Linked DNA regions of Ovis aries. The protein of the gene in region 2 purifies or fractionates together with the protein of the main gene of each other region. This does not show direct contact. Links are inferred from orthologs where the notes say so. Each region holds a gene or a part of one and is shown on either strand. Other genes may lie near its edges.

Evidence for each region.
Region 1: the proteins of FIBP (region 2) and C2CD5 purify together in Homo sapiens (affinity purification with mass spectrometry; 3 studies listed by BioGRID and IntAct, counting the BioPlex papers as one, with this or other methods). This does not show direct contact. The link is inferred for Ovis aries from reciprocal best matches to the Homo sapiens genes FIBP and C2CD5.

What each region holds. Positions count from the first base shown.
Region 1 is NC_056056.1:193,330,565-193,337,320, reverse strand, and holds part of C2CD5 (C2 domain-containing protein 5), read right to left. Parts: intron 5,562-6,756; coding exon 5,511-5,561; intron 4,619-5,510; coding exon 4,517-4,618; intron 3,229-4,516; coding exon 3,038-3,228; intron 1-3,037. UniProt on the Homo sapiens protein: Required for insulin-stimulated glucose transport and glucose transporter SLC2A4/GLUT4 translocation from intracellular glucose storage vesicle (GSV) to the plasma membrane (PM) in adipocytes.
Region 2 is NC_056074.1:40,434,448-40,441,676, reverse strand, and holds FIBP (acidic fibroblast growth factor intracellular-binding protein), read left to right. Parts: upstream 1-2,295; 5' UTR 2,296-2,391; coding exon 2,392-2,476; intron 2,477-2,677; coding exon 2,678-2,876; intron 2,877-3,079; coding exon 3,080-3,206; intron 3,207-4,130; coding exon 4,131-4,231; intron 4,232-4,724; coding exon 4,725-4,879; intron 4,880-5,149; coding exon 5,150-5,258; intron 5,259-5,335; coding exon 5,336-5,399; intron 5,400-5,634; coding exon 5,635-5,721; intron 5,722-5,807; coding exon 5,808-5,905; intron 5,906-6,095; coding exon of another isoform or gene 6,096-6,141; exon of another isoform or gene 6,142-6,233; coding exon 6,234-6,303; 3' UTR 6,304-6,354; downstream 6,355-7,229. Other genes in the region: CTSW (cathepsin W), read right to left, coding at 6,679-6,789, 6,871-7,080, 7,160-7,224. UniProt on the Homo sapiens protein: May be involved in mitogenic function of FGF1. May mediate with IER2 FGF-signaling in the establishment of laterality in the embryo.

The sequences.
Region 1 (6,756 bases), on a different chromosome or scaffold from region 2:
GAATATATATTAAAACAGTTTAAGTGATCTTACTATAATGGATGGTCCTTTTAATTTCCTTCACCATGCGGATTTGTTGCATGAATGAAAAAACCTTTACTTAACGCATGTCTACAACAGGGATTATTGTTGGTGTTCAGTCACTAAATTGTGTCATAATCCCAACAGGGATTACCATCTTGATTTTAGAGATGATGAAACTGAAGCTCATGTGACATGCCCAGGATGAAGGTGGAACACAGAGCTAGTGGACAGATGGCAGAGCAAGAGTTCTAACTGTTCCTCCACTGTCAACACCTCCCTCCATGAAACTGTTCCTGTCATCATTCAAATAAATTGATGGTAAATATAAACAATGAGACGTCCCTGCTATCCATATCTCCCACTTTGAAAATGAACCATGTTCCAAGTCGCACTCGTCTTTTTCAGTTTCTTGAAGGTCTGACACCTTTTCCAGCCTCGGGGTCATTGTACATGAAGGGTCCACACCTGATTTTCCACCAGGGTAACTCGTACTCAATTCTTCAGGTCTTGGTTTACATGTGACTTCTTCAGAGCAACCTACCCTATCAGACCTAAATTACGTTCTCCTGTTAACATTCTCCAAGAGCCTTGTTGTATTTCTTTATATGACTTATATTACTAAGAGCCATGTTCTCACCACATGATGATTATTTACTGTCCACTAAATCCCACCATGCCAGGGGCTGCATCTGCCATGCTCACAGCCATATACACTAACACCTATTTCAACAGGCGCCTGTGCCCAGTGATCTGCACATATTTGTCATGGAAAGAAACCCAACAGTTTGGGGAACTTTTGCAGTGTTCAAAGCCAAACAAGACAGAAACCAAAGGCCAGCTGATAGCTCAAAATGCTTTACAATCTAAATTTTCCACAAATTTTACTGAAGGTTTTTTACAGTCTAGGAAGAAATTTCCAACTTTAAATTGGAAGGGCAAAATTTAATACACTGTTAGAAAAAGCATTTGTCTAGGTCACATCTTTCTGAAAAGCTACAGGCTCCTACATAAAGTTTGAAATTAAGGAATTAAAGGAGTTGCTTCAAGCCTGCCTCTGACTCAATCACAGTCCAGGACAGTCTTCTCTTCTGCTTTAATCAGTTTTCCTCTTACATATCAAGTCAAAAAATTTTAGAGTAACAGACACTACAGGGGTAAATTCTAATATTACATAACTGAAAGCAAATAACAAGGAATGAACAGATTTCAGGTATTAAACTATGTACAGGCTTCTCAGGTAGTACTAGTGGTCAAGAACCCACCTGCCAAGGCAGGAGTCATAAGAGACGTGGGTTCAATCCCTGGGTCAGGAAGATCCCCTGTAGAGTATGGCAACCCACTCCAGTATTCTTTCCTTGAGAGTCTCATCTTCAGAGACGCCTGGTGGGCTACAGTCATGGGGCTGCAAACAGCCAGACACAACTGAAGCAACTTAGCCCACATGCATGCATATACTACATATTATACTATTAACTACATTATAGCTGGTATTATAAATCTCTGTTGAAAGGAAATCTGTGAAGCAACATTTCAGGGTATGGTTGCTTCAGCAGTTGAAAAGACACTTTGGAAAGAAAATTTTATGGATTTGACAGTATAATATCCATGTGCAACTGGAAAAGGTTAATTCACCAATCTATGACAGCTTCTCAAACCCAGATTTCTTTGTCAAACCTCAATGGATCTAAAAGTGTTGCCCATTTTAATTCTACATTAAAAGGTTTTTTAGAATATCTTGAGATAGTTTCTTTTCCATCTCAACACAATTAGAATATGATTACAAAAATAATTTTTCTTAAAGGAAACATTTATCTAATTAATTAATCTGTCAGAATTCACTCCCTCATTTACACAAAAACGGCTTGTGGTTCCTCTGCACCAGGCACTATGCTAGGTGCAGGAGGGTGAGGCTGAGGTTAGTAAGCAGGCTGCTATTTCCAAGAAGGCATAGAAACACTGCTGGTGAAACAACGGGGGGAAAAAAACACAATTAAGTTGTGTTTATAATTAACACACTTTAAAAAAATACGAACTTCTGCTAAAGTCAATTTTGAAGAGTTTATTGGGTTTCACACTTAAATAATTAAAAATTTTCCCTACTCACTATATTAATTTGCTTAGCAGCCCTGCTCAAGAAACATAAGACAAATAGAAATATCATCTTTTCCTGAGTTTAAATTCCTCTGTAATGCAAGATATAATAGGCTGACTCTGATTCTTAATTCTGACCTCACCAAGCAAGAGATTATAACTGCTGTTACTTAAAAAACAAATTAAAGTTTAATGATACCCATTGTGAGGTAGGCACTTGAACAAGTAACACTGATGGCTAGAGGAGAAAACAAGCAGCCTCCTTCTTTGTCAGGAGAAAACGACAGAACCAAATGATATAAAAAAAATCTCCAAAGACATCCATTCAGGATACAGTCCCCTACTATTTCTTAATGTGGACTCTTAAAAATTGCCATTTAAATCCATCTCAGGCAAATACCTACAGAGAAACTAAGCTCAGGGCTGTTTTAAACCTCTATCAAACATGGATACATTTATTTTTTTTTAAATTTACCATCTGATAAGGATCTGTAACTTCTAATAACAAATGAATTTAAACCCAACACAACTCTTGTGATAATACTGAAAGCGAAAGTGAAGTCGCTCAGTCACGTCCAACTCTTTGCAACCCCATGGACTATAGCCTACCAGGCTCCTCTGTCCATGGGATTTTCCAGGCAAGAATATTAGAGTGGGGTTGCCATTTCCTTCTCCAGGGCATATTCCCGACCCAGGAATCGAACCCGGGTCTCCCACATTGCTGGCAGACACTTTTACCATCTGAGCCTCATCTACAGCCAATCCAGACAGGCTATGGAAAAAAGTGTGCGTGTGCGTGTGCGTGTGTGTGTTACTTTTGGCAAAAAAAAACCAAACAATTTGAAACATGTCTGGTTTTGATACTAATACTTTCAACCACCAAAAATTCACAAACACAATGAAATAACAACTATAAAGTTACCTCACGTAGAGAAGTGGTTTCCCGAATAAAAAACATGTTAATTATACCAAGATATTTTGTTATTTTTGCTCCAGGAATGAAAGAAAGAGGTGTCATCTTAACAACCCCAACGGTAGAATTTGCACAAGGTGGAGCAGAACGATTCCGGAAGTTTCCTTCACCCATTGGACTTGCTTTTTCAACTGTCACTGCTAAAATTGGAAAGAGAAGAGAAAGCATCAAGATCACAAGTTGGTGACTCAATGATTCCCTAGTGTTTCCAAATAAGTGGTGACAACATTCAGCTGTCTGTGAGGCTAAGCCATGTCATGAAAGAAAAGAAATTACCATGCACTGCATGCAATTACAAAGAGAGAGAAAGAAAAACGTAAGCGGAAATGCTGGAATGGAATCTTTGGGAAGAAAAATGGCATTCCTGCAAAAGAAAATGTTGATGCGGTGTAGCTACACACACAGTGATCGTTATAAAGTGAAGACAAAGAAAAAGCGGTAGAGCATTAAAAAATCTGCTGTAGGAACAAATTATTACGAGAGTGTGAAAGTTGTTCCATTTCCCAGGGCAGTGTTTTCCATCTTTTTTTCAGACGACTTCATCATTGTCAACTTGTAGATAAACCTTATCTTAACTAGTTGTAGCAGGTTTTTTTCCCAAACCTTCTCAATCAAAGTTGTAATTTAAAAAATTTAACAAATGACCTTGGCTGTCTAAAAGTTAATTGTTCATAAAATAACAAATACCTACTGCTTATCAAATAACTACCATGAACCAAACACACACGTGTGTGTGTCTATAATTCTCACAATGCAGCGACATAGGTGTTATCATCCCCATATAACGCATGAGGTAACTGAGGCTCACAAAACTTAAATAACTTGCCAAGGTCACACAGGCATTAAAATGGCACTTTTAGGATTCAAAACCAGACCTGGTTGATTCCATAGCCTGTGGGCTTCCCCCTAAATACAGTTCCTTCCCTTTAATGTCAACTCTTCCACTCAAATACATTTACCTCAAAGTCTACTAAAACACATGGAGTATAGATTTAAAAAAAAAAAAAATCTTAGTCCTGCTGCTGAGTCTAGCAGTGAGATAAGAGCTGGCCACTTTCTCTCTGGAGATACCTTCTGTTCTCACTCTAGACATTACTCTTAGTCATCTGACGGATACCATATACCACCGAGTCTCTTCAATAAAAGCTCATTTATTTCCTTCCACTATGTGACCTAATATCTATTTATACACGTCTAAGAATACCTTCACCAAAATAAAATCCTAAAAACACAACCCTGCAGCTGCAATTTAAACATCTAAAGGCCCTTCAAAAGCTTTTGCTAAATGACGGTTAGCATCTGCAGCTTTCACACTCCAACACATGATTGATTGGCAATGTTATTACTGAGTAGTCAGGGCCAGCCTTCACCACTGGGAAATCAAGGATATGCTTCTCAAATCACAACGTGGTAGAAACATCCGCCTACTTGTCTTAATTGATCCGCGCCTTATGGTCTGAGCTTTCAGTTTAATGAGCTCTATCCAGCTGCTGCATCTGTCTGCAAAGGAACTGTAATCAACTGACGTTGCTGAAAACACAGACAGAAAACAAAAGAAAAAACAAAGAAAAAATATGGATGACGTCTCTTACTCGTCACAACACTCCTCTCGATGATGTAATTTAACTGTAACTTAGGGGGAAAGGTGGTCCTTTTCAAGTCAGGTGAGAGAGATAGTAAAGAATCAAGCTTTAGACACTGATTTGTCCAAAACCAACTTGTCGGTTGGCTGAGCATCTCTGGTGATGTCAGAGCTGTGTGGTCTCTTGGAGGGAACAGAAGCGGGTCTACCAAGATCAAGGAAAGGGTCACGTGCTGCGTTTTAACTAACTTCCTTTCCTTTGTTTTTATTTTACACTGTTTTAGCTGTTTATACTTAGGACTTTAATTTACAATCAGAACTTAGTGAATAATTCCTTGACCTATTTTTGCTCTGAAACTTAAAAAAAAATGAATAAATAAATAAATGAGAATCAAATGTTAAAGGATACATGAAAAAAAAAATCACTAGTTAACTTATCTTTTGCAAAATATCTTCTTTCTACCAGTAGTAACAAGGAAGCCAAAGGGTCATTTTTATCAATATCCTATTTCCACATCTGATTTTGGCAACAAAGCTTCTATTAACATGGAGTGAGGATCAAGTGTGAGCCCAACAAGTTCTTTTCAAAAGAGTATCTTTTACTACTGTTGAGCTAAAAAATAATATTAAAAGCTGAAGTCTTATCTTTAGAAACTGGGACACTATTAAAATGCTAGATGGCATAAATAATATTTGAATTACACAATCTAACTACAATAAAGCCACATTTTGGTGTCTATTCCATTGTCCAGTGCATTTCTTCAATGTCTGTATGCTTATGCTCCACCACGCTAGAATTTCACACCTTTGGTGACTATTTGCTTAATTAGACAAACTCACCTCTCTGTGCAGCTGGTATACCTGAGTTAGAACTTGCACTCTCCAGGTGTTCTAGTAAGACAATATGAACAACATTAGCTTGGATGCTAAGTACAAGCCAGTATCTCTTTGCTCTTGGTTAATACTCTCTAAAAACCAGATGAATAGGAGAAAATTTTTATGGCCTCATTATAAAAGCAAACCAAATCAAAGTACCTAGGTTTAAAATGGCAGTTTCTATTGATATATGAAAACTAGCTCGGTTAATAAACACCATGTCAAGAAAGATTACTTGTTATTATAACACAAAGAAAGTTCCAGAAACTCTACATGTTAGAAAATATCCACACAGTAACAAATGTTAGTGGGAGGGAAGCAGAATGTGGGAAATCTGAACAGAGAAAAGGGTCAATGTACTGGGAAGAAAATCTGAAATGAAGCGGGAAGGTAAATGTGTGGGGGGGGAAAGCCAGTAAGATTAAGAGCTACAGACAAAGCGGTGACCTGCGTCTCACAGATAAACGCACACCATACATGAGCCCCGCCCCACCCACCTTACCACCAATGCCCTCATTCAAAGCTTTCCCTTTCAACAGCTTCCTCTGAAACTATCATGACTTTATGGAACTAAAAGGTGACTACTTTTCACAGAAATAACTAGGAATCCCAAACTATAACCTCCTTTCTAGTAAGCTCACACAAGCAACATCTTGAATTCTTCCTGAAAGTTTATATTTTTATCACAGATATTTAAGGAACTGTACAAATTCAAACAGCACTACATTAAAAAAAAATCTTCATCATCTATTTCTAATTTTCAGGCTCTACCCACACTAGCATATTTGAATTTCTATTTCTAAGAATCTCATAACTGAGGATATAGTGTTGCCAAGATGGAAATAACTCATAAAAACACTAAGAATAATTTGGTCAGCCATTTTTAAAAAAATTATAAACTAAGTAAATAAGTAAATATATAATATTTTTGTCTCTGTGTCATATGGTGATTTGGGGGGTAATATTCTTGAATTTGTATAAGTTGTAATTTTCAAAAATCAGATTTATACAGAATGTTTCTGCCAACTGGGGGGCAATGACATATCTCCCGTCCCCACTCCACCTCCTTTTTCCTAAGGCTAGTGACCACGAGCTAATACTGGAGAGAGTACAGTGATCAACATTCCTCTTACGATACACAGCTGTCAATAAAAGGGATCACGAGGAGAAGTTCACAAAAAGACTTGTGGGGGGATTACACTGGGTGTGC
Region 2 (7,229 bases):
ACAGCCAATCCGGGCTAGCGCCCTCGGAAAGGGGCGGGGTCCAGGCTCCCAGAATGAAGCCCTTCCCTGCCCACTTCGGACCGCGGTGTTTCTGATGCTCGCTGACTCTGGGTATCCGTGTCCCCGTCCTCGGTGCCAGTGAGCCCTAAACTAGGCTCTTCGTACCTTCCAGTTCTAAACCGCATCAAGCTCTAGCCCAGGCCTCTCGGCTCCCACTGAGAACCAAGATTCCAGTGTCGACCCGCGACTCTTCCACCCACCCTCTGACAAAATCCAGACGGATCGCCTTTCCATCCTTCCTAGCTTTGCTCGAACTGTAGAGTCTCAACTCACTGAGCATCGCTTTCAGTCCTTGGAAACTGAAGTCCAAACGTCCTGGCTCACATCATCAGCCTACTCTGAGCACAGACCGTTTCCTGTCCGGTGGGAGGGGCATACACGGATCTGTTTGTTCAGTAAACTTTTATTGTGTGTAAGGGCTATGCAGAAATAAACTTGAGTCATATCCTTATACTGTCCTTAAAGAGGTCTTGATCTGGCAGAGGCGACAAGCTGCGATGAAGAAGCAAATGGAGGAAGACCACATTTTGAGGGGCTGCCCCCACCCACAAAGTGCGTGCTAAGTCGCCTCAGACGTGTCAGATTCTGCGACTCTACGGACTGTAGCCTGGCAGGCTCCTCTGTCCATGGGGATTCTCGAGGCAAGAATACTGGAGTGGGTGCCATGCCCTCCTTCAGGGGAGCCTCCCGACCTAGGGATGGAACCCACATCTCATGTCTCCTGCATTGGCAGGTGGGTTCTAAGGCCACCTGGGAAGCTTTCCCCAAAGAGGTGCTACCTGAGGGAGACCCCGAAAGATGTATAGGACTTTGGCGAGTCATGAGAGAGCTATTTGAGGAAGAGAGAATAGCACGATGAAAGTCTGGGGACTGAAAGAGCCTCCATGCTTTAGGAACAGCGAGAGTAAACTGGTTTTTCGTGTTTGTTTTGGAAAGGCAGTTCTTAGAGAAAGTGGTAAGAGAGGAAGGCAACAATGGCAGTCAGAAGCCAAATTCTTAAGGGCTTTAAATACTAAGATGGAGCATTTACACAGACCAGTAAGGATTTCAGCAGGGGAGTAACATTTTTGAAAATACATTTTTAAAAAAGGTTGATTGGGCTGCTCTGTGTGGGATGGACCACAGGGAGGGGATGGACCACAGGGAGGGGATGTAGGCAGAAAGATTACTGAGAACAATGTGTCAGTGGGCAAGGAGAGCTATGCAGGACTGGGCTTGGACACGGCAGTGGGGGTGGAGAGGACAAAACAGATACTAGAAATATTCAGGAGGCAAATCAGGAGACTTGAATGTGGAGAGAGAAGAGTCTGGGAGAAAGCCCAGGTTTCTGGTATGAGAACAGGGTGGATGTAGGGGCTGTTCCTGAGATAGGAACCCGGTTGGGGGTGGGGTGCGAGGTGTGTGTGTGGGGTGGTGGGAACAGATCAGGAAACCAACAGGTCTGGCTGCGGGGAACAGAGTGGAAAGAGTTACAGATTGGTGGCCGTCTGGATGTGGACTTCCAGACAGAGCTCTAAGCTGTATCAGGGAGATCACTAGTTGGAGGGGTGGCGGTGGGGCAGTTGGCTTAAAACCATGGGAGTAGGTACCCCATGTTCAGGAGAGGGGCTCATCTGCAGGATGGACTCAGGGGCCCTCAGTAAGGGCCCTTGAAGACGGGCCAGACAACTTTTTTTGCATAAAAAAGATTCAGGATAGAGCCCTGTTGTTTAGTCCCTCAGTCGTGTCCTACTCTTTCACGACCCCAAGGACTGCCCAGGCAAGAATACTGGAGTGGGTAGCTATTTCCTTCTCCAGGGGATCTTCCCGATCCAAGGGTCGAACTAGCATCTCCTGTATTGGCGGGTGGATTCTTTATCGCTGAGCCACCAAGGAACCCCATAGAGCCCTGTGGAGCTCCTACATTCAGGATACAGGTCAAAGTAGTGGGGCTCCCCGCAAAAGGGCACAGAACAACCAGGAGGATTTGAGGGTGAAGGTTGCCGGCATAGGGGCAACTAGCCAGAGGCCTTGGCTCTGGATGCCCTCCTGCAAACCCGGCCGGCGTGAGGGTGGGGTGGGCTGGGCTGGGCTGAGCTGGGCTTGGAACCGAGGAACCCGAGACTCCCCCTCCCGCTGGGAGGAGGGGCTACCCAACCGTCTCCGCCTCAGCCTCTTTCCTCGCGGCTCCTGCCCAGACTAGCTCTGTCCCGGAAGTGGTCCTCTTCTGGCTCCGGGTGCCGGGAGACGAATGTCAGTGCTCCCGGAAGTGGCCCGGCGGCGGCGCGCCGGGCCCGGGCAGTGCTCGCTCCTGCTGGGGCGCTGCGGTAGCGCCCGGGTCCGGGCGTCGCCATGACCAGCGAGCTGGACATCTTCGTGGGGAACACGACCCTCATCGACGAGGACGTGTATCGCCTTTGGCTGGACGGTTATTCGGGTCTGTGGGGGGCTGACTGGGGTAGCCAGTCTGGCGGAGCGGTTGTTTTGGATGGGAGAGGGGGCCGAACCAGGACTAGGCATCCTATAGGGCAGTGGGCAGAGGCCTGGGAGTATGAAATGCCTGGGGCTCGGGGCTGAAATCCCTGAAGAACCTCTAGGGCCGGCGGGGCGGGGCCTGATGCCAGCGCTCGCTTCCCAGTGAGCGACGCGGTGGCTCTGAGGGTGCGCTCGGGAATTCTGGAGCAGACCGGCGCCACAGCAGCGGTGCTGCAGAGCGACACCATGGACCACTACCGGACTTTCCACATGCTCGAGCGCCTGCTCCACGCGCCGCCCAAGCTGCTTCACCAGCTTATTTTCCAGATCCCGCCCTCTCGACAGGCGCTGCTCATTGAGAGGTGCTCACCTGGCGGGTGGTGGGGATGCCGACCAGTCTGACCATGTATCCATTTTGCAGGCTGTCGAGGAGGCCCGGGGACGGGCGGGACTTACCCAAGCCGGGAGAAAGTTGAGAGCAGAAGGGGCCAAACCCAGGTCCTGCCAGCTCTCCTCTCCCCTCTTTTTATGGAAAGTCAGTAGGGTCGTCCCCAACTCCCCACAGGTATTATGCCTTTGACGAGGCCTTCGTGCGGGAGGTGCTGGGCAAAAAGCTGTCCAAGGGCACCAAGAAAGACCTGGATGATATCAGCACCAAAACAGGCATCACCCTCAAGAGCTGCCGGAGACAGGTGGGCACTGCACCCATCTGCAGCCCGCCCCTCTGTGCCGTCCCTTTGGTTCCTGCCTCACCTCCACCCCACTCCAACACTTCTGTGGCAGTGCCTTCATTTCCACTCTCCTCTCTTTTTGCCCCTTCCAAGCCATCCCCTACTCTTGAGCCAGAGTGACCTCTCAGAAGCCTACATTTTTACCTTAGCTTTCTTCTGCTCACGAACTTTGAATGGCTCCCATTCTTTCCTATAGCAGCCACATTCCTTGGTCTCGACCTTCAGACCCTCCTATCATCCTGTCCCTGCCTCCTTCTCTAGACTCCCCAGCCCCTGGCTTTCTTTTGCTCATCTGCCCCTACCTGTATTATTTTTCCAAGGTATTATTTTAGGACATATATACCCCTTGAAATCTAAGGCAGGGTCAGGGGTTGAGGGGGGTGGTCATATACCACCTTCTCCAAAAGCCTTGCCAGTGGTTCCAGGAAGAAGTAACCCTTCTAGTGGGCCTTTAGCATTTTCCTCTGTGACTCCTTTGAGCTCCCCAAGATGGCTTAGTATTTGCTCTTTTTCGAGTTCCTAGGGCTTAGCCAGGAAGGCCATTTTCAGCACAAACTAGTGAAGAACTAGAGAGCATGATGCTAAAATAGGGGTGAATTTATTGATACGAGTGAGTAAACATTTATCCAAGGCAAGATGGTAGAAGCTGGTGAACATTTGGGGAATTGATAAGAGATATTAATAATTAATGGGGCTTTCCAGGTGGCATATTGGTAAAGAATCCACCTGCCAGTGCAGGAGGTAATAGTTTGTTGAAGCAATAACAAATACTCCATCAGTGTCTGGTGATTGGATAGGTGGGTCAGTGACAGAGGGATGCTCACCAAACAGTTTATTGGGTGAGCAACCTGACCAGTCCTTCCTCCTCCTCTAACTGCCCTGCAGTTTGACAACTTTAAGCGCGTCTTCAAGGTGGTGGAGGAAATGCGGGGCTCCCTGGTGGATAACATCCAGCAGCACTTCCTCCTGTCCGATCGGCTGGCCAGGTGAGGGGCCAACTGCCTCCCCCTCCTGCACACTCCTTCCTTGTGCCCTGAAGCTGACCTTTATTTTCTGCCCCAACCCACATGACCTCCATGCTGTAGGGGGGGCAATGGTTATCCCTCTCTTGGGCTGTACTTTGGTTCAGACTGGCCTGGGTTCAAATCCTAGCCTGGCCATTCACCAGCTGGACTGTTGTGAGGTGCCATGGGTAAAGCTCATGATGGCACAGCCCTTGGGGCTTAGTAAGTACTCAGTAAATGGTCGCTGTTACCCTGTGGTCTCCCACCGTGTCCCTTAGGAGACCCAGGCTGAAACCTTCTCTTTGCCCAGAGGAGGAGGCCCAGAGAGATGTGACTTGAAACCCGTCACACAGTGAGTTAGGGTAGAGAGAGGCCAGAACACGGAGGTCCCGCTGATATTGTAGCTGAGAGCTGCTTGGTAAGAAGGAATTTCAAGCCTTGATGGACACCCCACCCCCCGCTCCCCACCCCGCAGGGACTATGCAGCCATCGTCTTCTTTGCCAACAATCGCTTTGAGACAGGGAAGAAAAAACTGCAGTATCTGAGCTTTGGGGACTTTGCCTTCTGTGCTGAGCTCATGATCCAGAACTGGACCCTCGGAGCCGTCGGTGAGGCCCCCACTGACCCAGGTGCAGGCCCCCGTTCCCAGCAGCCTTTCTTCTTCAGGGCCCCTGCCCAGCCGCTTCTGCTCATGGCCCAGCGCCGCCACACACAGCTTCTCTGCAGACAAGGGACCCACAGCGTCTCTCTGGCTTGGGGCCAGTCCCTCCAGCTCTCTCACACCCAGCGTGCTCTTTTGTCTTGTGGGATGCCATGAAGTGGTAGGGGGGAAGGCTCAGGTTATCACAGGAGGCATTTTTTAATCTCGCACCTCAATTCCCTTCATGGGCCTCACTTAGACTCCCAGGTGGATGACATGGACATGGACTTAGACAAGGAGTTTCTCCAGGACTTGAAGGAGCTCAAGGTGCTTGTGGCTGACAAGGACCTTCTAGACCTGCACAAGAGGTGACCCTAGGGGTCTGTGGGGCAGGGCCTGAGGTGGGCGCCCAGGCGGCGCGGGCCTTGACCCTATCTTCCTTCAGCCTGGTGTGCACTGCCCTCCGGGGGAAGCTTGGTGTCTTTTCGGAGATGGAAGCCAACTTCAAGGTCTGTGGCCCAGTCCAGCCTCTGTCCCTGGGGCATCTTCAGCATCCAGAGCCCTGCCCCACAGTGGCTCTGCTGTTGGCCTTAGGCGGTGCTGCTGTTCCCTCTGCCTGCCCCTGGGGGGAGCCAGCTCTTAAATGCTGGGGAATTACTTGATTGAGGGAGGTGGATAGATTTGGTCTCAGCCCCCAGCCTCTCTCAGACAGCAGGCAGAACTCCCAGGCTCCCTCCCCCACAGAACCTGTCCCGGGGGCTGGTGAATGTGGCCGCCAAGCTGACCCACAATAAGGATGTCAGAGACCTGTTTGTAGACCTCGTGGAGAAGGTGAGTTGTCCTGCTGGCTGCCCTCTGACCCCATCCTGGCCTGTCCCTGGGCTGTACCAGTGCTGGATGTTACCTTGGACCCACAGTTTGTGGAACCCTGCCGCTCCGACCACTGGCCGTTGAATGATGTGCGTCTCTTCCTGAATCAGTATTCGGCTTCGGTCCACTCCCTGGATGGCTTCCGGTGAGAGATCTCAGGCTTCCTTATGTGCTGGCCTCCTGCTGGGGCCCAGCCCTCCTGCAGACTCTGAGTTCCCTGTTCTTTGGCCCTGGGGTTGGAAGTCACTCTGTTGACCAGAGTCTCAGCTCCATCACTGAGAAACTGACCTGATCTTGACAAGTTCCTTTCTCTCTGTGTGCCTCCATTCCTTCAGACATAAGCTGGGGGTGACAGCAGTAAGGCTTATAGGAATCCTATGAGGATTAAACGAGTGATGGTGTTGAGAGCACGTGGAGCAGGGTCATGCGGATCCAGTCAACATCAGCCAACACCCTAACTGTTACCATTGCAGGCACCAGGCGCTCTGGGACCGCTACATGGGCACCCTCCGTGGCTGCCTCCTGCGCCTCTATCATGACTGAGGCCCCTCCCCCCGCCCTGGCCACACTGACAATAAAGTTGCCATGACTTTGGAGGAGGCTGTGAGTGGGTACACGCATGGGTCCGCGCATGGACGTGTGTGCCCGTTGCACACGTACATCTCTTTGAGTGTCACGGTGTATGAGGATGTATGTGTCCGTTGACCCCACAGGGACAAGGACATGTCAGAGAACAGTATCTACTCGCTCCCCATCCATTTCCCCACCCCAGCCGTGTCCACTCCAAAGACAGGGGTCTTGTCTTGCTTTATTCAATCCCCAGCAAGAATACTGGGATACTAGGCAAAAACCTTGGGGCAGGTGGCAGGGAAAGGTAACTGGCACAGCAGGAGAGAGCCAAGGGGCAGCCAGGCAGCCTCAGGGAGGGCAAGAGACTTGTTGCTTCTTCTTAGGTATGTCCACTATGGCAGTGACCGGGTACTTGGTGATGCCGCAGGTGTTACTCCCTCGATGCAGCCGGAAATAGCCCTAAGAGGTTAGGGCCCATCAGCACCAGACAGCGGGGAGAGGTCTGTCCTGCCCTGTCTGCCCCCAGTAGACCACACTCACCTCCTCACCCCAGTGAGGCCCCCAGGAGTTCTTCAGGGTCCAGTATGCCATGGAGCGGCGAGGGCGAGTGTAGGATCTGAACGAGGCCGCCTTCCCCTGCCTCCCCTCCACCGACTTGGTTTTACCAAAACCCACCAGCAGGACAGAATGATCGACGTGTCTGGGGTCACAGGTAGTAGGTGTGGCCTTGATCACACCCTTCTGGTATTGCTGCAGGGGCAGAGAGGCTGAGTCTGGGGCCACCTCCCCTATATACACCCCTCCCCCCCCACTCCCTACCTTATTTCACCTGCAGTAGCTTCACATTGATGGTCACAGTGATGGGGCCTTGGGTGGCCAAGTGCCTGGCGATGCCTGGG